Linked DNA regions of Tamandua tetradactyla. The protein of the gene in region 2 interacts with the protein of the main gene of each other region in a biochemical or structural test. Links are inferred from orthologs where the notes say so. Each region holds a gene or a part of one and is shown on either strand. Other genes may lie near its edges. The genes, in order: NOTCH1, NFKB1, MAP3K8 and BCL3.

Region 1 (7,541 bases), on a different chromosome or scaffold from region 2:
CTGCTGGGGGAGAAAAAGGCCCCAAAAAGCAAAAAAAAAAAAAAAAAAGTAGTGTGCATTCATTAGAGACGGACAAAGGGGCACTGCTCCAGGCCTGCTTAATTGGCTTGAGTTCAAGGAGGGTGGGGGGCCGAAGGGGGTGGAGGTAGCACGCCAACAGGCTGGGCAGCCAGAGCGGGGCAGAGCCCGAGCAGGGGGCTGGGGACTGGCCGGGGTAAGGGGCCCCTCGACAGTTGGAACGAGGGCAGTCGGCTCAGCCAAGAGCCACTTCTTCATGGGCAGTCTCCCGAGGCAGGGAGGAAGGGACTTTTTCCTGCAGCCACCAAGATCTGCTCGTCCTTCTCATCAGGGAAGAACTCAAGTTGAAGGGCACTGGCCCAGAGCAGACACTTGGCCGAGGCCGAACGGCTGTCACAGACAGTGCCCTTCTGAACAGATTTCCTATGGGCGTCAGGATGGGGCTGCAGACTGCACTGCACCTGTGCCCAATCTGCAGCCGGGGAAACCGAGGCCAGGGTGGGGGCCGGCGGGCCTCGGCAATGGGGAGGTGGGAGTCAAAGGGAAGGCAGACGCCAAAGGGAAGGCAGACTCCCCCCACCCCACCCCCGTGCCGGGAGAAAGGGAGGCCAAGGGGCTCGAGCCCTCTCCCCAGCCTCACCCTGAAGCGAGGAAGGAATGAACTTGGAGAGGCAGACAGCCCAGCCAGTTGGGTTTGGTTTTGAAATAGTCAATATCCTGATGAGAGGCTCACCTGCACAGGAGGCGCTCACCTGCCCAGAGGAGGCACCACCTGCCCCAAGGAGGTGCTCTCCAGGTAAAAGGCGGTGGGAACTGGGCCCCCCTGTCACTGGCCCTGAGCCCCGGGGCAGGCCCACTGGAGACTTCAGGAAGAAACAGGGTGCAGGAGATTCCCACTGAGAGCCCCGGTAAGCCTGCCTCGAAACGGGAGTGCTGGAACCCAGCGGCCAGACCTGCTTCAGCTCCTGCTTCGAATGCAGCATAATTACTGGTGATTAAGTAATTGCCAGACTTTGTCCAATAAAAGTCAGCACGTGACCACGCCCAGCCTTCTGGGCCATCTCCGCAAGACAATGGGCCAGTGTTCTGTCCCCAGCGCCACAGCGGGCAGGGGCTCCCGCTCCCGACTAAGCAACAGGTCCCGCGGGGCGCATACTCACACACAGGCCTCCGTGCCGTTGGCCAACACTTCACACTTGCCGCCGTTCAGGCAGGACTCCCCGGGCTGGGAACAGCGCAGGCCTGGGGAGAGGTAGAGACGAGAGGTCAGCGTGGCCTGCGCCTTGAGTCCCAGGCCCTCCCCTCCCCAAGCCACCCACCTCTGGAGACCGACAGACAGCCCACCCTGACATCGGGGTCAGGGAACATCGGGACTGCCCCTCCACCCACCCACTACAGGAAATTCAAGGGCTTCAGCACTCAGCCCAGTGAGCTGGATGGGGAAATGGGGAAGGGGGCAGGTTGGCAGGTGGATGGGGTGGTGCCCGGCGTGGGGGAGACCACCTGGGCTGCTGCGGAGTAGAGCCGAGATAACCTAGGGACATTCTCCCAAACTTTGTGTGCCCCCCCCACCCCATTCTTCATCAGGCAGCCCCGCCGGCTTGGGCAGGGGGCCCACACTCAGCCATTGCCATTGGCTCGCTGTTCAAACACCCTGGCGAGGGGGGCAGTGGGCCAGGGGACGGCCAAACTCAGCTCCCTGCTCGTGGGAAAATGCGACAGCTGCGGAGCCCCGCCCGCCAACAAAGCCCCGGCCGCAGAATCAGAGCAGCTCATTGTCGGGTTGGGCCGCCTCCTGGGGCCTGGGGGACTGCACCCGCAGCCCCCAACCCCAGACCTGGCCCCGCCTTTCGGACACCCAATACCTGCTCCGGCAGGAGGGCCATCTCCAGGGGCTGCCCCCGAACACACCCAGGGAGTGGGGTGAACAGCCCCCGTTTGGAAAAGAATTCAACGCCACTTCTGGGAAGGGACCAATCAATGAAGCCCCTCCCTCCGCATCTTAGCAGGACAGGGTAAGAGGAGTCCCTCTGTTGGGGCAGCAGCCGCAAAGACATGGAACTCTGCTTTCTGGAAGAAGAAAACTCTTGCCTCCAGCTTTTTGAGAAAGAGAGGAATTAACCCGCACTAGATTCCCGGGAGGAAGGGAGAGGAATTAGTGCCCCCTCCACCGACCCCCCCTCTCAAAATCCCCAAATGTGAACTCTACAAAGCGAAAACCAGTCCTATCCTGGAGCAGCTGAGGCTCTGCACACCCACCGCCCCTCACCCTCACCCTCACCCTTCACCGAGAAGTTTGTGAGCAGGGCCGGGGGTGGTCATGGGGTGGGGGGGTGGGGGGACTGATGGAGCCAAGGGAGTGAGTGTACCCCGCAGCCCCGCGGCGGCCCTGCGCCGGCTTTCCTAAAGGGTCAGGAAGCCGATTCGGCGGCGAGGGTTTGCCAAAGTGAACGCAGAGCCCCGGACCCCGCACTCCGCGCGGGAAGGTGGAGAAGAAAGAAGATAAATGGCCCGGAGGAGCAACAGGAAACCGAGCCCGACTCGATTCAAATCGAAAAGTCGTAGGCAGCCCGCCCGCCCCGGCTGCGAGACCCACGCGTAGCTGGTTTAGGACGCGACCAAGGGCCCGGGCCCCTGGCCCGCCACACCCGGCTTCAAAGCCGGCTTCAAACCTGGTTCCAAAGCCGGCTCCAGGCGCAGTCCCCAGGGTCAGAGAGCGCGGGTCCTCCCCGATCGGGAGGGGGGTGATGTTCGCCTCTCTCCCGTGCCCAGAACTCCCGATCCCTCACCCCCACCGTCCCCCTCCCGGGTACCCCGCTGCTTCGAGCCTCCCAGTACCCTCCTCCGCAGCCCGGAGCGCGGACTCGGGTAGCCGCCAAAGTTTGCAAGGGCGCTGCAAGTCGTGGGGCCCCGTGGCGCGGACGCTCACCTCGTGCGGTGAGTGCGGGCAGCAGCGCCAGGCAGAGCAGCGGCGCCAGGGGCGGCATGCCTGCCCGCCGGCTGCCCGCTGCGCCCGGGGCGGCCTCCTGCGCGGGGCCGGCCGGGCTGGGGCGCACTCTGACTCCGGAGGGTCCCACGGGCGGCTCCTCCTCTCCTTCCCGGCCGGCGGGAGGGCGTTGCGATCCCGCGGTCTCCCAGCTGCCGGATCGGCTCTCCGCCGGGCCCTCCGCTTTCCGGCGCCCCGCGCCCCGCACCCCGCGGCCCTGCGCTCCCTCCCGCAGCCGAGGCACTAGTGAGGCGCGGGGCGGCCGTGCACTCCGCCCCCGACGCGCGCCACGCCCCCGGCCCCGCCTCGGGGCCCCGCCCCGCCAATCCTTCCGCGCCCGCGCCCCTTGCGCCCGGGACGGGCCCCGCGCCCACTCGGGCTGGACACGCCGGAGGGAACCAGGGTCTCCCAGGCTGAAACAGGGCGCCAGGGCGTCCGGAGGGAGGTCGGGCTAGCGCTGGGACTACTTCTCGTTCGAAAGTTTCCCGAGGCCCAAAGTTTGGCCCCGGGCCGCGGAAGGATCCCTTCTGGTGGCGTCCTCTCTGGGTGCCAATTGAGACATTTGCATCTCAATGGCAGGGGAGGCGCGGGAGCCGTTCCCGGAGAGGCGCTGGGTTCGGGACCAGAGGCGGCCGAGGCCAAGTTTGGGAGATCCCGGGACCGAGGCTCGGAGAGGAGTCGCGCCCTCCGCGTCCGTGGGTGCGCGCGGAACCGCGTGGCTCCTTTCGCGGGTGCCCAAGGGCAGCGGCTTTAAACCCTGGGGGACCGGGCACCGACACCAGACGTCCTGGTAGTAAAGACCGTACCACCTGACCCTGAACGAAGGTGGTGCCGCGCCCTGGGCCTCTGTGGTGAAGATTTTGGGCGCCTCGAGGGAAGAGCCCAGGGCCACTGCCTTGCGGCGTGGAGAGTGCATCTGCTCGCCCAAGCAGGGCCCCGCTGAACTCAATGCTCCTTCGTCACTGCCCTCAAACTGTCCCCGCCACCCCCTGCCTCAGGTGGCCCCGGAAACCCCGCCAGGGCCGCGCAGACCCAGCGCCGGCGCCAACTCGGCCCCTCCCACGTGCTCCTTCCGGGCGGGTTCCTTCTCCTAGGGCATCCTGTGCCAAGCCCGTTTGAGCACTAGGCGTCCAGGATGCCGGCATAACCAAAGTTCAAGAACGAGTGCCACGGACAGGCAGCCGCCCACCACCCCATCACGACACAGGGGGTGAGTGCAATGGCTGGAGGCGCAGCAACCCAGCCCTGGCCCTGGCTTCCTTTCTGGAGGAAACGAGGCCCCAGCTGAGGCTAAAGGCCGAGCGGGAACTGGCCCGGCCGAGCACGATGAACACCAGACGCCGCGGGACCGCAGAAATCCCGGAGGCTTCCGGAGGAGGCGGCCCTTGCTTGGAGAGGCGCCTGGTGGTGCGGCATTTCACCGCTGCTCAGGGCACACCTGTTGCCGGACAGTGGCAGCAGCTGACACCCTGCCCCAAGTACCCCGGGCAGCCATCCCAGGCCCTGGCAGCTGCTGAGGGAAGCCTTCCTTGCTGCCTCCTTCCAGGAGGTGGCTGCACTCTCAGGGCGCCTGGTAACTTCCCCGGGGCAGTGCCCCGGAGAGGAGGAGCCTGGAGGCAGCTGGAATGTTTATATCACAGCAGCCCGACTGCTGGGCAGCCTGGTACAGATTTTCCCCTAGAAGGAAGAACAGTGCTGCACAGACCCCTTTCCTGTCCCCTACCCCCCATTCACAGGCTCAGGACTCTGGGCACACATTGCTCACCCCATCCCTGCCACTCCACCCAGAGAGCCCCAGGCCGAAAGGCAAAGCACCTCCAGCCCTGGCTTTGAAGTGAGTTCTCTCCCATCTGAAGTCTGGCTATGGCTGGGAGCAGGGGAGCACTGGACCAGAGTCCCTCTCTGGTGTGAGCCCAGGTGTACCCACAGCCCCTTCCTTCTGGGCCTCACCAGCCGGAAGAGAACAGACACTTGATGCTCACCAGGGATAAAGCTGAGTGCACAGGTTACTCGGCTGCCAGGGCTCTGTGGTCCCCTGGGGGGTTCCCAAAGACAGCTGGGGGTGGGGGCATCCCAGGAAAGGGAGAAGTGCAAGTGCCTGAAGCTGGAGAGGGAATATAGCCAAGGTAGATGGGGGGTGGGGTTCCCCTCTGGGCCTGGGAAGGGGGTGGGCCTGGCCCTGACAAGTGGATGTTAAGCTTTTTTATTCACAAATGAGGCCAGAGAATTCTGGCCTCCCTGGTCCTGGTCCCTCCTTATCCAGGGGTCTTGGGTGGCGTGGGGAATGGGGATCCTGACCAAGCTGGGGTAAGGCCAGGACAGCCTGTTGAAACTTCTCCAACAGGGCAGGCAGCCCGAGGAAGCCCCGGGGAGCGGGTTTTGGGGGGCTAAGGATAAACCCAGCACAGCTTGGCCGCTCCAGAACCCCGTGGGGGGACATTGGTGGGTCTGCAAGAGGCTAAACGGGGGCTGCAACCCCTCCAGATCATGAAGCGGCTTCCATGGTGGGAGTCAGGACAAGGTTCCCAGGGACACCCCCTGGACAGACCCCGAGTGACTGGAGTCCTAGAACCTGTGGGGGGTGGAAGGGAGGGGAAGCCATGGGGTCTGGGTGCAGAGGGATGCCTGGGGTGTCTGGCAGCCACCCTCTTCTACAGGCCCCCCAGATACAGGGCTGCTGCCTTCAGGCTGAGCTGGGGAGGCCCTGCTGACCTTGGGCCATTCCTGTCCCCCAAAGCACACCCCATCCCTGTCCCCCATGCCATCCACAAGTCCTTCTGAGGTCAGAATACATCCCAAGGTAAATAAAGAGGCATTTCTGGAGCGACTGCTGTATACTCAGCCCGGATTCAGCAACCTTAACTCAGACCAAACTGGCTCTAGCCTGGTTTGCGGGTGGGGGGTGGGGGTGCCAGTGGTATCAGAAGCTTCCCAGGAAATTCCAAGGTGCAGCCAGGGCTGAGAAAAAAGGGTAAGGCCCCTTTTCTTTCACTAGGAGCCTAGGGGGCAGCCCTGGAAGGGGGAGGAGGCATGTGTCTCCCCATTTCTCATCTCAGGTGAGGAAGCCGAGGCTCAGTGCCTTCTCAGGGCTGGCCAGGCCCAGTTCTTCAGCAGCATCCGACCGCTAGGGCAGGGGCCCCTGAAGGCTGCAGTGGGCTGTGTGCACTGATAACGCTTCTGGGGACACCTGTCCTCTGGCTCACATTGTTCGATTTAGGGCACAGGAAAGTACGGCCTGAGGCTGGGGAACTGGCCTGACCTTCGGGGTTGGAGCTAGCTCCAAGGGTATGGGGGAATTCCAGAATACTAAAGGGTGGGAGCCCTCTGTCTTTTTAAGTTGATGGTAAAAGACTCTGTGACGTGCTTGCAAAGCTGGAGCCAGAGCACTGGGCTCTATTCTGGATACCACTGCTGACCAGCTGGCCAACCCTAGGCACTTTTGACCCCTGGGCCTCAGTTTCCCTGTCTATCGAATGCCTTCTAAAGTCCTGGCTGCCTTTTTCCACTTTGAAACCACCTCAAGCGTTTCCCTGAGGGCCGGCTGTCACAGAATAAGTTGCTTCTGGTGGCCGTGGGGCATTAATGCAGAGGGATGGGTCACGACTCAGCACCCAGTCCACCTCTGCCAGACCCTGGACGGCAAGGCTTGTCGCCGTGCAAGGAGGGCATGATGGTGGGTGTCGGCCAGCTCCTCTCTGCTGCTTCCTGAGGGTGGGTTCGTACCAGTAGGGGATCAGGCCACCTAGGAGGGCTTCTCCCGCCTTCTGAGAGTGGAGAGGGGTCAGACTGGGCCTTGGTTTTGATTCCCTGTCCCCTCCCCCTCTCCTATGTAGAGGCCCACTCAGCCCAGTTGCCCACCCACCACATGTCCTTAGAGGACCCCACAGTGCTGGAGGAGGCCCCTGGGGCTCTGCACCCACCAGGGCAGGCTGGATTCCGTCTGTCCCCTCTCTCTTGCCTCCAAGCTTGGCATAACTGGTGTCCTCCACCTGAAATGAGCCCCCCCCGTTTGTCCCTGCCTGACTCCTCAAAGGTGTGAGCCCCTGAAAGCAGGGCAGGGCCGGGCTGGTGTCTGCCTGGTCCCCAGCACCCACCATGGATGCTTCCGGAAGGTTTGTTCACCGACCAGATGACTGACGGACAGCCCGCAGGAAGAGGACACAGGGTCCGAGACCCTGGTCTCCCCGTGCAAGTCCACCAAGCAAGCGGGGCCCTAACTCCTGGCTGGCCAGCCCATACCCTCCATGGACCCTGCACCATGGCCCAGAAGGCTCCCTGGGTGCAGACACCTGCGAGGTGTGTTGCCCAGGCATGTACCCGGCCCAATCCCCGGCCCCCCCAGCGGCTGAGCAGACAGGCCCAGCTGGCACTGGGCTTTGGGTGCAGCCCCCGGCCCATCCCATGGCTGATGTGGCACCATCCATCCAAGAAGTGGGACTGCTGCCGAGGGAGGCCTGGCCACCTGGGCTGTCCCAATAGCCCATGGCCGTGGCCACCCGCCTACCTGCAGGTGGATGCTCAGAGCACAGATCCCTGC
Region 2 (6,963 bases):
CATTATAAATAAAATTAATGGAAATAAAAGCGTATTTTGGCAAAGGCTTTAAATTTCAAGGACAAGAAAAAATAATTCTAAAATAATCTTTTCGAAATAAAACATGTTACTATGAAACAAAAATCAGGCAGACTTGAAAATCTTCCTTCACATTACTAAATGTCAGCTTAAAACAGAATCTTTTATATAAAGAAAGGGAAAAACTGACTCAAGAATTCTATATCCAATCGTGTTTTTGTTCATCTCAAAGTAACAGGAAGACATTTTTTTTTACAGATAAGGGCTCAGAAAATTCATCATTAACCATGCTTTTTAGTAAAAAATTATTTTGAAGAGTATTTCAGCTGACTGTGAAGTTAATAAAATAAACTAAAGCATGGAAAAGTTATGCTATGAAAGCAATTATAGTATACATTGAACAAAGTCAAACATAGAAGTAGGTCTAATAATTGTTTCAAGTTTTGATTATAAAAAAGAACACAAATGTCAGAAATTGTTTTTAAAAAAGAATACTGTAAAATTATATATAAAACCAAATAACTATAACATGGGCATAAGTGTTCAGATAATATGAATAAAGACAACGAATTAGTGAGAAGAATGTGAATTGAGAGAAAGTAAAAACATGGGGAAATATTTCTTAGTATTATGTGAAAATGAAAAACAGAAAAGAATGATTTCTAAACCTTTAAGGGTACCAAGAGAACTTAAAACAGCCTTGCAATCTTCCAAATCTACAGAAGATAAAATCAACCAAAACAACAAATGACAGAAACAGAGGAAGCGGCATAAAAGTCATTAAAAAAAACAAAACAAAACCAGAAAGCATAACCCAAGATAGTACAAGACCAAACACTGGTTGTGATAATAAATATAAATTAGTTTTACTCCCCAATTAAAATGATAAAATTTTACCAAATAAGGTTTAAAAAGCAGTCTGTGTGCTGCTTTCAAGACAAGACATAAACCTGAAACAAAACAACAGAACGCAAAGTTTAAAAGAGAATAAATAAAAATTTGTAAGTCAAATTTTAAAAGAAGAGATAGAAGAATTGATTTGACAGAATAGATATAAGGGTCAAAACAATAAATAGTTAAAAAGAAGGTCCTGGGCAGGCCACGGTGGCTCAGCAGGCAAGACTGCTTGCCTGCCATGCCAGAGGACCCGGGTTTGATTCCCGGCACCTGCTCACGTCAAAAAATAATAATAATAATTAAAAAAAGTCCTTTTTGTCATGAATGTTACTCACAACAAAAAAGTTGTGACAACCTTTATACATTGAATAAAGTAGGATCAACATATTATGCCAAAATTATTAGGAGAACATGATAAATGTAGAAAAATGCTATCCTCACAGGAATCTTTAACAGCCTGATCCCAGGCTCTGAAAGACAGAGTGGCCAGTTACTATTTTTTGCCCCACATCCTTTCATCTGGGAACTGCCCCTTCCCCAAGCCATGAGAATGTTTTGGTGGTGTCCAATCAGGAGGTTGTTCGTTCACCACAGAACTGGGCACAGTTAGCACTGTTGGTGTCCCACTCAGATTTATTCGGAACCCTTTTTTACCAGTTCTATGAACCCATATGCACCTTTTGTGTGCTCTGCCACTGACGGTTTGTACCTAAGCCCTTCAGACGCTGACCCTTGGGCACTGGATAGCTTGACTTTGAGGACAGCTCAAAGCGACTGGGAGTTTTACGGTCCTGTAATCTCTCCCTACCTCAGCTTCTCTGGCAGAGGGACAAACTCGGAAGTGTAATTTGCACTCCACAGATTCCGTATGAGGCTTTGGAAACAGCTTGGCTACTTTCCTTCTCTATCCTGATTTCCCCATATCCTTAATGATTTCTTCTGAGAACATGTCCTTAATAAATCACTCTCGACTGAATCCTTGGCTCAAGATCTGCTTCTGTGGCATCGGACCTAAGATAGCGTATGACCTGAGCTGACCAATCAAAGTGGCGTCTCCTTCTAACCCCAGAGCCTTAGTTCCTGGGGTAGGTAATTTAGTAAACTATCAAGTCCTGATAGGCACGCACCCTGGGAGAAGGGGAGTCTACTTCTGTGAGTGCATGTAAGAACCATATAAACCTGGAATTCCAGGCCTGAGAAATGAAAATTGAAGCAAATAAACTAAGAGATGGAGAAAGTAAGACAGTACCAATGGCATCATTTGATTCCCTAGATCCAGCCTTTCCTGAAGCAGTTACATTTTAGAAATCCAGTTATATTAACAAACTAGTTCTTTTAATGTGCTATGCTAGTTTGAATTCTGTTTCTATTATTTACAGTGAAAAGATTCCAACAAAATAGTTCAAGCAGAAAAGAATAAATAAGGTTTCAAAGAATGAGAATAATATAATGGTGAGTTAATAGTGTATAATCTTTGGAAGTGAAATGGACTGTACTTCCTTTAAAAATAAATAGCATACAGACTTCGCCGACTCCTCCGCTCAGCGCTCCACGTGTCGCTTCCGGAGCTCCCTCCCCACCATGACCATCAGCCTTACCGGACGCCTGGGACCACCCGGGCAGCACTCGGGAGCGGAAATCTTTTCCTCTGACCCTCGCGCAGAGCCCGCGCTCGCCCCGTCACGGGCCCCAGCGCCCCTCGTGGATACAGGCAGCGCAACCGCAGGCGCCTCTGCCCTCCGGTGGTTCGGCGCCAGCTGCCAGCCCAGGGTTGGAACCCTGCCAAAACACTCCTCTTCCTGCGCTCACTCTCATCTTCTGCCAGATCCTGACGGTGGAGGAGGGAGTGCCAGCGACCCCGGCACCGGAGGACGCACCCAGCCCTGCGAGCCCCGGGCCCACTCTTGCGCCCCTGGTCCTGCAGTCCCGTAATCCGATCTCGGAGCCCTCCGACTGCGCTCTGGCCCGGCAGCACTTGCCTCCAGCACACCCAGCCGCCTTCTAGGCGGGACACGCGCGCCCCTTCCCTCCCGCCCCCAAAAGCAAACTGAAAATCCTGAGACACACCAGACGTACCTGGTGCGAGGGCGTCTCCCAAACTGGGACTTGATGGCAAATCAAACTCAGTACACAAAGCAGAGACGCCGGCGGATGCCTGGGGTGGATTTTAGGCTCTGACAAGCCTGGGCTAGGCCGAGAGGGGAAAAAGACCGTGTTAATTTATTTCGGGGAACAATACAGAGTAGATCAGCATGGCCCCTGCGCAAGGATGACACGCAAATTTGTGAAGCGTTCCATATTTTAAATTGATAGATCATGGTGGAAATGCATTTAAGGCTGATGGTGATAGATGTTACAGATCTTTTTTCCCTTGAAAATGTTTTTATCTAAATGATAACTTCACGTTTCATATACTGTTGCATGAATCCCAAAATAGGATGTTTCAGAAATAGAGATATTTTAAAGGTGGATATTTAAAAATTCTCTAGTTTTAACATATATTGAATGATATACTCTTTAAAACTGTTCAATTAACTAGTAGTGCAGTGCAGTGATTAGCATTGGGTATGCCTCCCTTTTATATCCTTGCAGTCTCCCGTTTACTCAGAAGTTTAATATTTTCACTTGCTGCTTTACCCCCACGCTTTATCTAACTTCATATAGAAGACTTGTCTAGAATATTGTATGTATTTTTACCTTGTTCCAGTGAATTGCATGCACTAATTTTAACCATAACTTTTTTGTTTGTTTGTTTCATGGGCAGGCTCTGGGAATGGAACCCTGGTCTCTAGCTCAGCAGGCAAGAGTTCTTGCCACGGAGCCACTTTTGCACCGCCCACAAGTATCATTCTTATTTTGACTAAATGTTCTTGTTAAAATTCTGTCCTATATGAGCATTAATTAAATTATTTTATTATAAATAAATTTATAACTTATTGTGAATTATTATTTTGTAATTGTATGTAATTTGCCTTTGTAAAGATCAGAGTCTTTAGGGCTATGTGAAGTATAGATAAACTGTTTGAACTCTAATAGTTTGGAAGAATAGGTATCTTCTACTCAGACAATAGAAAAATATTTCTCAGATAGGAAAGAGAATGAGGACAAATGGAGGAGACGTCATCACAGGAGTTCCCTTTAGAGAACTTTATGCTTTGTCTCAGAATCAGAGCTCTGGGAAAAGGCATCTGCCTAAAGAGGTAAACACTGTGCCCAGAGTGCCAATGATTTAGGATGGTGTGAGGCAGCCCAGTGGTCCTTGTTCTCTTTAAGCATGGCGTGGGAGAAGTGCTGGGAGCTGCCAGAGATGAAGGGGCCATTGCCACAGGAACTAGTACATCTCAGTCTCACCTTGTCTGGGTTGATGACATACAAGGGGTGAGGACCAGTCTGAACGATGAATGTCTCAGCCGGTCAGTGCCTATGTGGCTGACCGAATGAGAAGCAGATGTCCTGTGTCTCACCTTGGCCCCACATAAGCCACCCCAGTGAAAGGGGAGAAGAGAGCCCCAAATTGACTGACCTCTGATGGAATGAGGACTTGTAATAGATTTTTTAAAGTTGATTTGTAGGGAAATAAACTGGATTGTATTTCTGATGCATTTGAGTTGGTGACTAAAATTCAAATGTACTACACTTCTTATTAACATTTGTGTGATGTGGTCAAGCATTCTTAAGAAAGCAGAACTTTCCTTCTTCAACTCTAATACTTTGTGATGGTTGATTTCATGTGGGAACTTGCCTAGGATATGGTATCCAGTGGTCTGGTCAAGCACTGTCCTTTTTGCTTCTGTGAAGGTTATTTTGTAGATCGGCTTTGTGGATATAATCCTTTGATTGCCTCCAAGATCAACAAAGGCAATTGCTCTCAGCAAAGTGGGGAGTCTTCTCATACGATCAGTTGGAGGTCTTAAAAGCCAAGATATCAGAGATTAGAAGAGGAATTTGGACTCAATTTCAGCCTCCCCTGGTGAATTTGGACTAAAGACTCCAGTATCACCTTTATCAGAGTTTCCAGTTTGAAGTATGCCTGCAGTTATGTGCGCCAATTCCTTATAATAAATCCCCAGGATTTATATTATATATATAGATTATATACATGTCTGAACTGACATGCAAGGCTTTTTGTTGCCTTGTTGCAAAATCCTATTTTAGGGTGAAAAAAACCCGATAATACCCTAGTCTTTCCCTTTGCAATTTCATTTGTAATCCAGACAAATAGTTATTTAGAGAAAACTAAGATGAAAATCATGTGTCTGAAAAGAGTAAAAGAGATAAATACACTGATAATTTGAAAATGGAAAGAGTCTTTTTACAGAAATTATACATCGAATATACGAATACATTTTGCCTTAATTATGTGTGTTTTATGTCCACTTTCTCACTTCTGATTTGGAAGTGGAGGGCATTAGACAACTCTCTTTTTATGGATTTGGGAAATGTCCATATATTCTGTTACCTATCACATAGTCAAGATAGGTGAAGTTAATTGAAGAATGAAGTAGAAGGTGTGTTGAAATATATTCCCATTTCCTTTGGGATGGACTGGTTTTGGTTCAGAGGGTGGGAGAATTTGTTATATACCCTATCTTTCTGCATTGCAACTGGTTTTTGAGAAAATCCCATTCCTAATTTGTCATAAGATCTTCTGCAACTATTGCCATTTTTAAAAAGATCTATGTTCATGGACATTTTAATGGAGAGTTGGGAAAAAGCATATTATGAACATCTAATTTGTTTCCTAAAGTCCATGAAAAATATCTTTTAAATTTCCTTATTGTTATACACAAACATAGAAGTACTTTTTATCTCTCTATTTTTAATATTTAACTGACATAAGAAGTTTTACCTGCATTTCATATTGTCACAAGAATGGATGTGTTGCAGTATTTCATTTTCATTTTCCCACTTGCTTTTTAAAATACTTCTTCTGCTCTAAACATTTTCTTCCCTTTCTAAACTACTAGGTATATAGATGTTAGTATTATCTCTTTTTAAGCATATTATAAATGTGTGCGAAGCTGAGCCAGAACAATAGCAAGTAACAAAATGTGGCTGAATGCAATTTGTAGCTTACATGACTCATGTTTAGCACTATAACATTTTAAATTAAAAGTAAAAGAAGGAAGACATCGAAACCAAATCTTTAAAATTCTCATTATATATTTAAATTTCTTTGACTATAGCTATGAATATTTCAAAATAATCCTTAAATTTAAAAAATATATAAATATACTTGATTGAATTCTTTACGTTGTCTCATGTTGTGTAAAAACATTGGATTGTGTTATCTCTATGTATCCCTTCTAGCTTGAAATTTCCCCTTTGAATGGTGGATTTTTTAAAATCCACCAAATTCACAAACTTGTGCAAGTTTTCCTGGGAAATTATATATAACAATTACCAAGTCTATTCTTTAGGACTTTGAGTCATTCCAAACCATGTGTGATTCACTATTTGTTCATCTTCTTGATAAGGTGCAAAAATAAGGGAGGCTTTACCCAAGAATCCATGCTAATATTTTGATGTGTGTTGCTAATAAAATTGTTACACACAGATAAGATAGAATTTTATAGGAAAAGATAAATAGTAAGGCTTTGAATCAGTGTATTTTCAAGTCCTAACGAGTATAACTCATGAGGCCACTTAAAAAATTAATGAAGGGTCTCTTTTCTAAACTACTCTAATTTGTGATTTAAAACATTGATACTCATATAGTGAGCATCTCTCTGAGTAGGAGCACAGAGAAAGAGTCCAGTTAGGGATAAGAAGGAAAGCCTTTAAAATGTAACACTGATCTGGCCTTGTGGCAACTAGGATAATCATATGTTGTTACTCTGAAACCTTGCTCAGAGAGAATCACGTTATTCCTGATTGTCTGTTTGCCAGGTTTGTCTTGCTTCTATTTCCCAGACTTCACAGCTATTACATTTTTAATGATTTTCCCTGGAGAAAAGCATTAGAAGCAAAAATAGAACTCCTAGAGGTTGGTGAAGTAAGAGTTGCCCTGGGAAGAAACTCTCACAGTAGTGGGAATGGGTTAAGAAA
Region 3 (7,342 bases), on a different chromosome or scaffold from region 2:
TCGAGGGTCAAACCTTAGACCAGTCCCTCTGTATCTCAATGTCCCCATCCGTAAAACAGCACCTGCCTGGGAAGGCAGGCATGAGGCTTCAATCAGCCAATGTACGTAAGGGCCTCAGGGCAGGTCTGGTAGCTGTCAATAAGCTGTGTGACTTCTAGGGGTTATTTCTGCATGCACAAAAGAGCAGCACTGGGGGTACATGGGTGGTTCAGTGCTAGAATGCTCATTCGCCGTGCAGGAGACTGGGGTTCGATTCGTAGTTTCATATTCCCCCTCCCCCATCCCCCCAAAAAAGAGCAGCCCTGAGTCAGGTTCCTGTGTGTGCAGATGCGGCTTTAGGCCTCTTTTCTTATCTGCACATGGGATGTGGCTACCTTCTTCCCCACCCTCACGACAGTGAGGTTGCAAAGAGAAACCTATGACATGCTTTGAGGGTTGTTATCGGCAGTTTCATCTAGACTGGCAGGCGTGCGCTCCCCTAGACACTGGTGGCCTTTGAGGGAGATTGTGATTCAGGCCCTGGGACTCTGGTGAGTTCTGAGAGAACTGCTTAAGAACATGGGGGAACACGGAACTTGGTTTCACCTAGCCTTTAGTTGCAGTTTCTGTTAGGAGAATTTTGACTTGGGGGTGGGTAGAATAGGACTTAAAAACAGCTCAGTTTAGAATCCCATTAGCTGAAAAATTCGAAGGCTCCTGGACTCTGTTGTCAAATGAATGGCTTGAGAGTAAAGAAAGTTTCCTGTACTGATAAGAGAAAGAGAAGAAAAATTCCACCCGGTTTACAATTAATCAGCTGATCCAGAGAAGAAAGGCAAGTTTTGGTTTCCAAATCCTGCAGAAGGTCTCAAGCATTTCTACGAACAGCCTAAGATGTTAAACACACACAACCCCCCTGAGCTTCCAGTTGGAAGGCGATGGGGGGAGAGGCCAGGGGATAGAGAGTGGATGTTTGCCTGGCATTCTCCCTTGCCAACGCAGAGGTCTGCTCCTGCAAATCAGTGCCACCCCCTACCCCCCGACCCCGTGGCCCTGAGCACCCATCTCCCTGCTAAAGGCTCAGCAAAAAGCAGGAGCAGCAGTTTCCGGACTTAATGAAGGAGACAATCTGCTAAATGATTTCTGAGTTATTCCTGATCAGTACCCCTTTAGAAAAAGCACGGCTTGGGAAAGTATTCTTGTTTAGCAATGGCCTCCTAGCCACTCCCAAAGAATGCAGTTTTCAACACAAATCTTCATAAAATTTCAACTTCTTAATACAGTAGCCAATGACTCCAATTTTAGAAATAGAAAGTTCTGCAAATATAGGCAAAATTGTTTGCTTCCCATTATTTCAGAAATCAGTAATAAAATCAAGAGGAAATCCTAGTCCTAAACATTAATAAGATACTTCTAGCTACTTTCATCTACCATAAACAAATGTTGAGTTTCCTGGCAAGTGTGAATGAAACCGGCCAGGATTACAGGCACAGACTCCTGCCTCACAGAGGACGATTATGCAGTCCTGTTACTTCCCATTTAAAAGGTTTTTCTGCCAAAATAGTACATTGCCCCTCAGGGCACGTCTCAGAATTTTCTTCTCAATAATGAGTCTTCTCCGCTGACAGAAGCACTGCCCGTCTGCATCTAAACCTCTAGACACTTAAACCATCCGATTTTCCTTAATTGACAGGTTTCTTAATGGCCAGAAGCAGCGCACACAAAACTCAATCCTTCCGGGAGCTGGGGCCGAAGGGGCTCGTACCACAGGCATGTAAAGCAATGCAGGCGCGTTTCTTTCCCTGCTTTATCTCGGAGCAATTCTTCATTCTGGACCTATGGACCTAAACCTCCCTTTTCAAAAGCATTAAAGCTCAGCATCGCAATCTTTCGCATAAAGAAACTCGTGGCCGTCCCAGGTTAACCCTTGGGACCAGCCCAGGCTGCCTTCTAATAGTCTTTCGCCCAAAATTACAAGGATTTCTGGAGTCCTGACAAAGCATTGCCCCTGGAAATAACTTTGTTTTTCCTAATATTCTCTCTTAGGCCAAAGGCCCCATACTCCTGCTCTGCTATAACCGCCCTTTAGGCACAGTATAGAGTTTGGTACATAGGCACGAAATTCATTTTCAGCAGCTCGAAAAGCAATCTGCACAGCCGATTCCCATCCCCATTCGCTTCTACCGGGTCCCGAAAGTCAGGGGCCTTTAAGGGGTTGTAAATTGCAAATGCACCCACTGCTTGGCAGCCAGGTGCTCGGGTCTCCGAGGTCCACTCACCTGGGGCTCGGCCAGGAATAGTGCAGTTGCCCCGGCGGGCCCCGAGGCAGAGACGCGGTGACAGCGGGCCCCTGCTTCCCCCGCGCGCTGCCCAGACCAGCACTGCCCTGGCGCTGGAGATCCGGGAAGGAGAAGGAAGGGGGAGGAGCCGCAAATCGGCACCCCGTGAGACCCTTGCGCAAGGTGCTTTCCAGCGGTGCCCGGCTGCAGCCCGCGACCCGCGCGCAGGACGGAAGCGCAGCTGCCAGGGGACCAGGCACGCCCCCACCTCCCCGCGCTCCGGAGAGCTCCCCTCTGCTGGGGGTAGGGGTGAGGGTGGCGGGGTAGCCTCTAGTTCAAGGTGGGGACCCCCGAGCACCCAGGAGGGCGCCACCACAAAGACTCCCCAAGCTCGGAACTCTGGGTTACCTGTTGCCTCTGTGCAGCCCCCCGACGGCTCAGCGCCCCGCTGGCGGCCGATCCTCCCGAGTGGGGCGCGCCGGGGCACCCAGATCCGGCGGAGGCAGATGGGAGAGCCCGGGCCTCGGGTCCCCGAGCGTGGCGCGACTTCTAGAGCGTGGCGGGCGAGTGAACCCCGGGCCGCCTCCGCCGCCCGCGTGGGCCCCTGACTCACAGCGTCTGAACAGGCGGGGGGGCGGTGCCGCCAGCTCCAGCCGCCACCTCCCCGCGTTTTCCATTTCCCCTTTCTCTCCGTAAACAGAAAGCGACTCCTCGGTGACACGGGAAGCGGGAGCCCCCGCTTTTGGGAAATTCCGGCCTTTCCCCCGCCCTCCCCCCCCCCCATTGCCCGCGGAGCGCCGGGGCGGAGTTGAAGGCGGGGACAGGGGAGGGGCGGATCACCGGGGCTTTGGGGGCCAGGGGACAGAGGAGGAAGCGCCGGCCAGAGCTGGAGTCGGGAATTACCGAACTGTTGGGGGAGGGAGGCGGGAGGAACTGTTCGGGGGACGGAGAAAGCAACTGCGCGGCTGCAGAAGGGCCTCGGACACCAAATGCCTCTTACCCGGAACTTGGGAACCGGGAAACCTGGTCTCTGAGTGCGTCCTAATGCCGGAGCAGGACCCAAGGCGAGCGCGCCTCCCCGCCATGTCCTGGTCTCCTCCAAGGAGAATCGCGTTTCCTAGCGGGCTCGCTCCCTCTGCGCTCCTCGGACGTCCCAGGCCCCCACGGCTCCTTGAGTTCGGGTCAGGGGTCCCCAAACACTGAATGCCCTGATCCGTGGTCCGCACGCACGGACTGCAGTTGAACAAACATTGGGGAGAGGCTGCAGCGGGCTGGCCCGGGGCCTGGGCTGGAGCTCCGGGAAATGTGCGTGCGCGGCGGGGGGCTGGGAGGGGTGTCTCAGGCAGTGTGTATTAACTGGATTTGCTCTTTCCAGTCCGTATTGGAACTTGCTTTCTGCACATTACGAAACTTACCTGTTCTGATCTCCTCACCTGGCTGCGAATCTGGGATTCTAGCCCTAATTGGAAAGCAGGGCAAAGTTCGTTTTGTAGTGTTCTTCCTGTTTTGAGTGGAAGTGTTTAGTTCAGGTGAGGTGGAAGGAAACAGCGCCTCTCTCCCTGAAATCCACTCTGCGGGGCATTCCCAGCGCGCACTTAGCTGCACTTAGCTGCGCCCCTGGCCATTCCGCCAAGTCTCAAGCACCCACTTAGGGGGTCACTTTGCAAGACTGCCCGGAGAACGAGAGAACGTAAGGTAGCTACAGTCTCCAACCTACAACCCCGACGTGGGCCGTCCGGGGCAGAGCCCAGGCTCAAACGTGTGTGACTCCGAGGTTTGCTTCCCAGTCCCCCCCTCCCGAGCTCATTCTCCCTCCCGCAGCTTCAGAACGGTATGGGGCCCGCACTGATGGCCCCATCTCTCGCGTGGAGACCGAAGCACAGGGTTTATTACAGAGGCCCAAAGAAGTCAGAGGAGAATTGCCCGCCGACCTAGGCTAGCCGAGGTGAGAAGCGAGGCCCTTGCTGTAGTACCTTAAATCGCATCTTTTGTTTTCCGGTAAAGAAGGGACCGGGATGCTGACAAAGTTAATTGACCGTCCTCTTAGCCTGTCAATGACAGCGAGTCCAATTAGCAAATAAAACGGCGAGACCAAGTGACTTGGCACTTAAATCATCCCGGACTTTATTATAAATGCGGAGGGGGGTGAGTGGCAGGACAGGAGCAGCACAGTTACCATCCCCTCGAGCCGTCCAGATTGCCCCGGGTGCCTGGAAGAGAAACCCTTCTTCGGGGACTTGCTCTTTCTGGTCTTGGGGGGATGGGGCTGGAGGGGGACAGTCCGCGCGTACCCGTCGGCTGGTACGCGCGGACTCGGTGGAATGGGTGACTGGCTCAGAAGTGAATTAACCTTCTCGCTCTCGGCTGAAGCTGAAGCTTTTCTCTGGAAGCCAGGTGGGGAGAGGTTGTCACCTCTCACTGTAGCGTGAGAGACCGAGATGGCTCTTCCTCATCTGTCAGTTTTTGTTCAAAATGTGAGCTTTTAAAACCTGTTAAAAATGGAAACAGAGCCGCTCCCGCCCCTTTCCCCTTTGAATGAGCTCATTAAACCACACCTAATCTTCTGGGAACTAAGTGGTAGGCTTACTTCCTTCATAGAGGGCTCCCAAATGAAGTTGCGTTCCAGGGAGTGGACGAAATGGCTAGTTTCTCAGGATTCTTGCCAGCTGCAGGAGACTTATGCAATGGTAAATTTCACCCCCTGGAGGGGGGGCGGGCGGCGGGGGCCAGTATTAGGACTAAGTTTTACTCAGTAAAGTTTTTTTTTAATTCAACTTCACAACATACAAACACAAGCATTCTTAACATATGACCATTCCATTTTTGATATGTAATCAATAACTCAAATATCATCACATAGTTGTATATTCGTCATCGTGATAATTTCTTAGAGCATTTGTCTCAATTCAGAAAAAGAAATAAAAATAAAAAAGAAAAAAATTCATATATACTATACCCCTTACCCCTCCCTTTCATTGATCACTAGCATTTCAATCTACTAAATTTATTTTAACATTTGTTCTCCGTATTACTTCTTTATTTTTGATCCATATGCTTTACTCATCTGTCCATAAGGTAGATAAAAGGAGCATCAGACACAAGGTTTTCACAATCGCACAGTCAGTGCGACAGCTGTATCCTTGTACAATCATCTTCAAGAAACTTGGCCACTGGAACACAGCTCTACATTTTCAGGCACTTCCCTCCAACCTCTCCATTATGCCTTAACTAAAAAGATGATATCCGTTTAATATGTAAGAATAACCTCCAGGATAACCTCGCGACTCTGTTTGGAATCTCTCGGCCACTGACGCTTTATTTTTTCTCATTTCTCTCTTTCCCCTTTTGGTCGAGAAGGTTTTCTCAATCCCTTGATGCTGAGTCCCAGCTCATCCTAGGATTTCTGTCCCACGTTGCCAGGAAGGTCCACATTCCCGAGAGTCATGTCCCATGTACAGAGGGCGAGAGCAGTGAGTTTGCTTGTGGTGTTGGCCGAAAGAGAGAGGCCACATCACTCAGTAAAGCTTAATAAAGATTGAACCTGGGACCCTGAAAAGAGAGAACAACTGAAAAAAGAAAATGTGTGTGTACTCATGGCACTTTTCTTGTTCAGGCCCCTGTAAAACAAACTTACAAAACTAATCCTCCTCTTCTAGGAAACTGGCTAGCAAACTGATGTTTTTAACCTCGGGCAAGAGCATGCACTCAAAGTCCCTAGAAGGTACATTGCAAATCAGCTCTCTGGAAGCTGTATGCATCCAACAAAAAGCACCTTGAAAACGGTTTGCATCACTTGCAGTTTGCTGGAAGAGGGCTTCTCCACTCACACATTTGGATAATGATGGGTTGTCATCTAGAGGTTGGAAATCAGAGCTCATTTTCTCATAGAAAATTATAGCCAATGGTGGACTGCCAAGTCAGCCCACCCATTTGGGACCTATATTAACAGGTAAAGTATATAATAGGGCACTGCTTTCCAGTCTTTTTCATGGCCACATAAAATATTGTTTTGCTCAGGATACTGGATAAACAAATAAATTGGGGGATGCCTACATGTGGCTTTTAAATTTATGATGAAACTAAAATACAAAGTATTCAAGGAAGATAATTAAGTACTGAATTTGTATAAAGCTTCAAATAAGCTTTTTAAATTATATTAAAAATAATAATGCCAATGGTGGCTCAGCAGGAATTCTCACCTGCCATGCTGGAGACCCGGGTTCGATTCCAGGTGCCTGCCCATGTAATAATAATAAAAATAATAATGCTGATTTCATGAGCATAGTTTTTTCTATATGTGTTTATGTTGCAACAGCTGTATCTACTTACTAATTAAGATATTTGAGTGTTGATGTAGATGAGAAACTGTACAGGCATATAAGTATTAAATTTAAAACTTGCTGTAATTTTTAAAATTTGTAAGTAGTTGAAATTGTATTTTTTTTTAAATCCAATAGCTATTCTTTTTCTTTCATTGACATGTAAGTTTCTTATGATACTGGGTGGATTTCAATTATAATTGAACTTTTAATATTACGTGTTTCAAAATTCCAGAGCTTTAATTTGCTGAGCATGCATGCATTGTTAGAGCAGTCACTCTGCAATGAGTTTGGACCCTGCTAAAAAGGTACATCAGCCCCAAAAGGATGAACTGTCCAACAGAGGTGGAGATCCAGGATTCCCCACCTCCATCCCCAGCAATGGGAGCACCAGTGAGCCTGTCTGGTGCTTGCAGCCCCCTCCACCCCAAGCCCTGCCAACTACCCTCGCACCTGAAACGCAAACTCTTTCCCTAGGAAGATCTGGGCCCCTGTCCTTGTTGGGTAGCAGCTTCTGCAGCTACTGGGTGATGGAGGTCCTACTCAGAGCCATTCACCATCTTAAAATGGATCCAGGATGTCCCTCAGACCTGTGGGGATCCCAAGTGCAACATTAGGTTCTATCCTGCACCCGCTGCTGTTTAGGACATCCCAGAGGAGTTGGTAGAGGCAACAGCCCCTAGAATGGAGAATTTCAGCCCTGCCTCCCCCAGCTGCTTGATGGATAAAAGGGTGAATATCGGAATGCATTCACAAGCATCTGTG
Region 4 (7,268 bases), on a different chromosome or scaffold from region 2:
ATATATCTCAAGTACTTTCTCCCACTTGGGCTCAAGGGGATAGCCCACAAACACCCATTGCCATGTATTGAGCATTTACTGTGTACTGCCCTATCGTCTGCACTAATGCACCAAATCCTAATTGTGATTTGCACTGTTATGAAGACCGATTTCCAGATGGGGAACTGAGGCTCACCCCCTCCAGAAATGGGTCTGCTCACTCCTACCTGAGTCTCCAAACCGACTTCTGCACCCTCACACACTTTGGTCCCTGTTTGACAGAGGGGCGAATCTGAGGCATGGACCAATGAGAAAGTGGCCCGCTGAGATTCAAACATAAGTTGGCAGAATACTAAGAACTGCAACGATCAAGTGTACTGAGTGCTTACTATGTGCTAGGCCCAGAGCTCAACCCCCTCTTGCAGGCTTTCATGGCAGCCTCAGAAAATGTTCCTCTAATTGTAGGTGATAAAGTATGGGGTTGGGAAATCAATCTGGGGAGCCTTCAGATTAGTTCAGTGGGTTGCAACAGTGAAATAATAGAAAAATATCAAAGTAGACCCCATCATCAGATATTGTTTGTTTCGTGCAGTTTTTCTTTCAAGTGTGTGTACACATCTTGTGCATATGTTTGTGTGCTGGATTTGATATAAAGTAATACTAATAAACACTTATCAACCAGCTACACTATGTTAGCAGCTTTACATGTATAACTTATATCATCAATCACTCAGTGCAATGCATTTCCCACTTTGGGGCTGTGATAAAACATTTGAAGCCCACTGCTCCTTAGTCCTGGGGGGATGCGCTCTCAGGTTGCCCATTTCTGAGGAGGAAACTGAGGCTCGGAGAGGGGCAAGTCCTTGCTCAGGATCACACAACCAGCAGTGGAGAGAGGATTACAGCTCGGGTCAACGTAACTTGAAAGCCCAAGCTGAGTGCCCCTGTATGTGGTGGGTGAGGTGGGTGGAAGGCTGTCCTCCCCACTCCCCTGTCCAATAGTGGGAGAGGTCACTCACGTGTCTCCGTCCTCATCTGCGTGGGTGGCCATGGCGATGTCAGCCGACAGGGGATGTTCCATTGAACACACCATGGGGTACAGGGGGGCAGGCAGGCTCAGCAGAGGAAAAGGGGAGCCCATGGTTGGGGTGGGGTACAGAGGCAGTAAAGGTCCTGAGCAGTGGAGAACAGAGAAAGGACACTGGTGAAGCCAGGCCTGGAGACCCTTAACCTATTGCCCACCTCTTGGCCTTCAATCCTGCAGAACTGCCTACCCTTCCTTGCAGGTCCCTTTGTATCAAGATAACCCCTGCCACGTCCTCCTCTGGCCTCCCACAGCCCATTTCCCCTTGCCCCCATCTGGTCACCCTCATTGTCACTTATCTTTCCATGTGCCTGACCCCCATCACCCGCCAAGGGAGCCCCCATCATCACCCATGGGGGGACCCCAGGATTTGTTTGATGAGTGAATTTGTGGCTGAGGGAGATGAGAAATAGATGGAGAGCTGGGCATAGTGAATGTGCAGAGGGTTTGAGGAGAGGGAAGGGTTGAAATGGGAGCAGGGGGTACAAGAAGCCGATTCAAATCCAGCTATTGGAAGAGACTGTGGCAGCAGTCACATCCATACCAGTGGGGAAAACTAAGGCCTGGGTACTCATCCAAGGGATGGGAAAAGTCAGTGTGGTGGTGGCAAGGCCTCCTGACTCACGGCTTGAGGCTCTCCCTCTGCTGCACTTGGAGGGGCTTGGAAGGTGCAGAAAGTGGATCAAGTTTTGGGGTTACTAAGCGTGGGCCCATTGCAGCTTCTGGGGCCATCTGGGGAGAGTGAGGTGAACACAGCTGTGGTCCAAGGGCTGCCCCTTTCATGAGATCAAGGATGGAAACGGGATGGGGAGAATGGTGGGTAACTTTCTCCAACATCCCCTGATCCTTGGTGGGGGGGGGAGGCTCATTCCTGGACTCCCCAAGTTCCAGGTCCCTGTGTCTCCAGTACCAGACCTTGGGGCCCTGGGATCTTCTGCCCAAAGTCCACTGACTCTCTCATCCTGGCCCTAAATCCTGAAATCCCAGAATTCTCTAGCCCTGCCACTCCATTCCTAGAATTCTCAGTCTGCAGACCTCCTAAGGCCACCTGCCCTTGTGACCCCTGATTGGCATCTCAGCTGAGTTTTTGTTCTCTTGACTCCTTGGGGCCCCCAGTTATTGGGTTCCTGGAACTCTTCCTTGGATCCCTGTGATCCCAGATATTGGGATGCTCAGAACTCCAAGCTCTATTGTCGTAATTCCCCATGTCCCCTGATTTTGACATCCTGGGACCCCTTCATAGCTGTCTCTTTAGTACCCCATTTGTGGTTCCCCTGACTGCCTCTGACCCCTACGTGGAACCCAGGAACCCCAGTTTCTTGGGTCCAGGCCCTGACTCCTCATAACCCTAAATTTCTGGGTCATGGAGATTTGTAATTCTGAGGCACCTATATCTGTGGCCTGGGACTTCAGGCTATGCCCTCAGCTCCCTGGGACCCCTGTATGTGTCCCTAGGACTCTGGGTCCTGTCCCCCTGTCTCCAGCTTCCTGGGACACCACATAACTGCGCCCAGGGTTCTGCCCCCTAGCTCTGGTGACCCTGTACCTTGTGCGGTTCCCACCCAGTCCTGACCCGCGGGGGCCACTCACCCTGGTAGTAAAGCGCCTCCGGCCGGGCCAGGCCGTGGGGGACCCCGGAAACGGCAGACGCGTCGGCGCCACCACACAGGGGCTCGGAGGGGAGGACAGGGCCTGCAGAGGCGCGGGGGGCGGCGGGTTCCGGGGAGGACGCGCGCAGCGGGCGCTTGCGGAGCGGCAGCGCGGCGCCGGGGGGTCCCGCGGCCTTGGGCCGGGTGCGCAGGTCCACGGGCCCCTCGTCCATGGCCCCCGCGGGGCATCGGGGCATGGGGCCGCCGGGGACGGCGGCCGAGCGGGCGGCCGGAGCGCTGCTCCGCTCAGTGGCACGGGAGGGTGGTTGCGCCGGGCGCCGGGACTTCCCCTGCCTCCCGCTGAACTGAAGGGACTTTTGTCGGCCGGGGCGGTGCCGGCCGGCCGCCTCCCCGCCCTCGACCGCCCCCCGCCCCCCCCTCCCGGGGCCACCCGTCCGCCCCAGGGGTTTCCTGGACCCGCCGCCGCTCCCGTCGCCGCGCAGTGCAGCCCGCCGCGCTCCGCCCTGGCCGCGCCCCGCGCCCGCCCCTCCCGGCGCCCCGGGCGGCTCACCCGGGTTGGGAGGCGGGGGCGGGGGTCCCCGCCCCTGCGGCAGCGGGCTTCGCTCAGCCTCGAGGCTCTTGTCCCTCGGGCTCTGTGTCTCCCTCTCTCGGTATCTCTCTGTAGCTGTGTCTCTCCTTGACGGAGATCTCTCCGGTCTGAACACGCATCACCCCGATTTCTCTGTCGCTCTACGTCTCACCGTCTCTACCTCTGTTGTCTGTTTGCATTTCTCACTCTCTCTCTGTCTCTTAGTTGCACTCTTCTCTGCCTATCCCCCCCCCCCGCCGGGAGGTAATTCTGGGAGAGCCTGGAGTCGCTGGACCTGGGTTCGAATCCCGCCGTTCACTTCCTCACTGTGTGAACTTGACTGGGCACTTCCCCTCTCTGGGCCGTTTCCTTCTCTGTGGGAGTGAGAAAACGCGCCCAGGGCCGGGGCTGGGGGTCGGCGGGCGCCCAGGAACTGTCCCTCCGCCTCCCCTGCCACCGTCTCTGCCTCTTCTCTATGCCTCTTTGACCAGGCCCGGGGTGCCCAGAGGGACAATGAATGTGATTCCTCCCCTCAGGCCCGGGGTGCCCAGAGGGACAATGAATGTGATTCCTCCCCTCCGGGTCACTGGGTGCTCGGAGAACGGTGGGTGTACTAAGAGAGGGACACGGAGATGGAGGCGCAGAGCTCTGGAGAGACAAAGGAAAGGGACACGGGAGAGAGAGATAGCAAGAGACCAAGAGACACATCAGCAGTGCGGGGACAGAACGACCAAGGCCAGGCTCCGGGGTGGGGGGGTGGCAGTCTGACCTCCTTCTTCTCCTCCACTTTCCCCTCCCCTCGGGGAGGGGTCGAAGCGTAGGGAACAGGCCCGGTGGGTTGGTGTTGGCGGCATGACTCAGACAGGCGGGAGCAGGCGAGGGGGAGGGGCAGGGGCGGGCCCCGTCCGCGTGGTCGCTCCTCCCCCTTCTCCCGCCCAGGGGGCGGGGCTCCTGCGGCCCGGGGCTTTCCCGGATTTCCCTGGGGGCGGGGCCGCCGCTGGGGTTGAGTCCGGGTCACTGAGTCACGGGAGGCGGAAGAAGGGCTATGCAAACCTGGGGGAGCCGGACAAGGGGTTCCGCACCCCAGAGCTGTCCGGACGGCACCCGGCGGGGTAGGGGTCTCCCTGCTTTGCTCCCTGAGACCCTGTCTGTCTGGACAACTCTGTCCTCTGTCCGTCTTCCCTTCTCCCTTTTCTCTCACTGTCCCTGATCAGGCTCAGCTTCTCTTTGTCCCTTTCTCCCGAACCCATGACATTGTCCTTTTGGCTCTCCATCTCTGCCTGATCGTTCTGTCTCCTGGCAGCGTCTCTCTGGGACCCGGAAGCGGGTGTGGGGCCCCGTCCACCAGGAAGAGACTTTGGCCTGGACGCGGGCCCCACCCCAGTGGATCATTAACCGGGATTGGGAGGAGCAGCTGGGGGCAGAGAGAGTCCCGGCGCCCTGGGCCTCTCTGTTATCCCCCCTTTGAAGCCCTGCAGTAGAGTGAAACATCTAGGGTCACAGACCTGGGTCCAAATCTCACTCCCACCCCTTGCTCACCTAGGGACCTTCAGCAAGCTATCCCCTCTCTCCTGGAAATGAGCCTCTTGAGCCCTGCCTCCCAGTATCCTATCGTGGGAGCTACAACGAAGGAAAGAGGAAGGAAGTGGGTTGGGAAGGGCTGGGCGTCCCGGCCCACCCAGCACTCACCTCTTAGAACCTTAAGCACAGGGGAGGGGCAGTGTGTGGAAGCTGAGGTTCAAACGGTTGGTGCTCAACAAGCTGGTGACCCTAAGACCCCCAATTCCTCCCACTCCCCATCACCTTGTGGCAGGTGGTGCAAAGGGCCTGGGGCTAGACAGAACTGGGGGGAGGGGGGCATGCACACCTGGCCCAGAGAGGCACTTTGAAGGGCTGGGAGAAAGGGTACTGATGGCTCAGAGTTTGAGGATGGAGGAGAGGATGAGGGATAAAAGGGTCTGAGGACAGAGGATCTGAAGGAGGAAGACAAGTCTGAGAACTTGATTGTCTGAGGGAGAGGGGAGAGAGCCTGATGGAGGGATTGGTGGAGAAGATGAGGGCCTGGGGGTCAGGGAAGAGGGACTGAGGGAGGAGGTCAGAATCTGAGGGAGGGGGCCAGGATCTGAGGAAGAAGGATCAGTCTGAGGAGAAGGACGAAGTAAGGAGGTCAGAAGTGCGAGAGAGTTGGGAGGAAAAGAGGGGTCTGAAAGAGAAGGAGACTTGGAGAGGGTCTGAGGGGGAAGGGCTTGATCTGAGGGGGGAGCAGCAGACTGAGGAGGGTCTCCTTGTGGCAGAGGGGGAAAGAGGCATGCCTGAGGAGCCAGCAGGGACTAGAGGGAGGGAAGGGAAGGCAGGCTGGGAGTCGGCCCCGCCCTGCTGCTCTCTGACTTCCCAGAATCTTCTGCTACTCAGGAAAGTCCCAGCTCCTGCACCACCTCCCTCCAGTGTCGGGAACGGAGGATGCGGAACCAGGATGGCTGTCCCCTCCTTTCCCCCCTCTCTCCTTGCACCCCAGGCAGGGAGGGCTGGGGTCTTCCCTCTCTGGGCCTTGAGCTCTGCAGCCCTCTCCTGCCTCCTGCCCACTGCTGGCGGGGGCAGCCCCTGGATGAGTCTGCAGAACTTCCTGAAGAAGGCCTGGAAGTCCTGCTTGGAGTCTGACCATTTTCCCTCATGCAGTTTGTTTCTCCTCCCAGCTGCCTCATCTTCCCTCACCCACATTCAACTCTCCCTGTGGGAGGAAGACCAGGAGTTTGCCCATTTGAGGTCCCAGTGGTAAAGGAAGTGCAAACTGAAACGCTGTGGGCATGGGGGCATCTCTCCTGCTCTTTGGGCCTTGGTTTCCTCTCCAAAGGAGAGGAAAAGGGCAGGGCGGCTCAGGCCCTTAATACCCATCGGCTCCATTCAGGGGCCTTCTGCTACTTTGCTTCAAACTGAGGCCTGGGTGCAAGTCCTGTGTCCTGCCCTGACTGGCTTTATGACTTCCAGGCAGTTACCTGCATGGAGCTTCAGCTTTCTTATCTATAAAACAGACCAAATAGAGAAAATTTGCTTCCCTCTATGGGGCCTGATGTGTAGAAAGTGCTCAGTGCAACGAAGCTACTACTTTTATCATTATTGTCAGTTAACCTAGGCTGCCAGCAGCAGGACCCACTTCACTAGGGTGATTAGGATTCAGTGTGCTGGGCTTAGAGACCTGAGGGTGCCATGTGCTAGCTATGTGACCTTGGGCTGGTGGCTTTCTCTCTCTGCCTTTGTTTTGCTTTCAATAGTTGGGGATGACAACAGCGCCTGCCTCAAAGCGCTGCTGAACAGACTGTGTGAGACCAGGTTTGTGCGATGGGAGAATGAATGAATGCCCCCCCCATCTGCCTTAACCTCACCCTGTGCATCAGGCTGGGGTCTTCTTGTCACCTTTATTTGTCCAGAGATGAGACAAGACCTGACCCAGTCAGCTCCCACTAGAAACTGGCCCACTTAATCCTCTCAACACCTCAGAAAATTCACCTAAAACCCCCATTTTATTGAGGTGGACACTGAGGCATAGGGAAGTGAAGTCCCTTCCTAGGGTCGAATGGTGAGGAACTGGGGGAGTTTTTTAATACAGGGCTCTGGACCCCAGGACTCTGGTTCAAACCTACTGAACTGGCAGGGGTGGTGATTAGTTCCAGAAACCATTAATTCTAGCCTCCTACTCCCTGGAGAGGAATGGTTTAGATGGAGAAACTGAGGCATGGGGCAGCAACCATGTGCCCAAGGGCATCTATGGGTTTTAGCCCAGTCCACACTCTTTCTGCTGCGTTTCTTCAACCCCAGGGAGGATCGAATGGGTAGAGAGGGGTCTCATTGCAGCAGGAGGGAATAAAGTTAGACTTCAGGTTAACTGATAGAGAAACCATCACCAGAACCTCCAGGGAGGTTCAGAGACAGCAAGTGAATTCCACAGATAGAGGCAAACAGAGGCTCTGGGCCTGGATGGGGAGGGACGTGCCTGAAGTCATACGGCCTCCCTTTTGGGATCAGGGCTGAA

The links.
Region 1: the proteins of NFKB1 (region 2) and NOTCH1 form a complex in vitro, tested with the Homo sapiens proteins (2 studies listed by BioGRID). The link is inferred for Tamandua tetradactyla from reciprocal best matches to the Homo sapiens genes NFKB1 and NOTCH1.
Region 3: the proteins of NFKB1 (region 2) and MAP3K8 form a complex in vitro, tested with the Homo sapiens proteins (2 studies listed by BioGRID and IntAct, with this or other methods). The link is inferred for Tamandua tetradactyla from reciprocal best matches to the Homo sapiens genes NFKB1 and MAP3K8.
Region 4: the proteins of NFKB1 (region 2) and BCL3 form a complex in vitro, tested with the Homo sapiens proteins (2 studies listed by BioGRID). The link is inferred for Tamandua tetradactyla from reciprocal best matches to the Homo sapiens genes NFKB1 and BCL3.

The regions. Positions count from the first base shown.
Region 1 is NC_135328.1:126,089,931-126,097,471, forward strand, and holds the start of NOTCH1 (neurogenic locus notch homolog protein 1), read right to left. Parts: upstream 3,013-7,541; 5' UTR 3,006-3,012; coding exon 2,948-3,005; intron 1,261-2,947; coding exon 1,179-1,260; intron 1-1,178. UniProt on the Homo sapiens protein: Functions as a receptor for membrane-bound ligands Jagged-1 (JAG1), Jagged-2 (JAG2) and Delta-1 (DLL1) to regulate cell-fate determination.
Region 2 is NC_135350.1:21,621,243-21,628,205, forward strand, and holds the start of NFKB1 (nuclear factor NF-kappa-B p105 subunit), read right to left. Parts: upstream 3,009-6,963; 5' UTR 2,992-3,008; intron 2,666-2,991; exon of another isoform or gene 2,514-2,665; intron 1-2,513.
Region 3 is NC_135327.1:221,263,442-221,270,783, reverse strand, and holds the start of MAP3K8 (mitogen-activated protein kinase kinase kinase 8), read right to left. Parts: upstream 3,010-7,342; 5' UTR 2,667-3,009; intron 2,655-2,666; exon of another isoform or gene 2,259-2,654; intron 1-2,258.
Region 4 is NC_135342.1:18,276,370-18,283,637, forward strand, and holds the start of BCL3 (B-cell lymphoma 3 protein), read right to left. Parts: upstream 3,014-7,268; 5' UTR 2,910-3,013; coding exon 2,654-2,909; intron 1,153-2,653; coding exon 999-1,152; intron 1-998. UniProt on the Homo sapiens protein: Contributes to the regulation of transcriptional activation of NF-kappa-B target genes. In the cytoplasm, inhibits the nuclear translocation of the NF-kappa-B p50 subunit.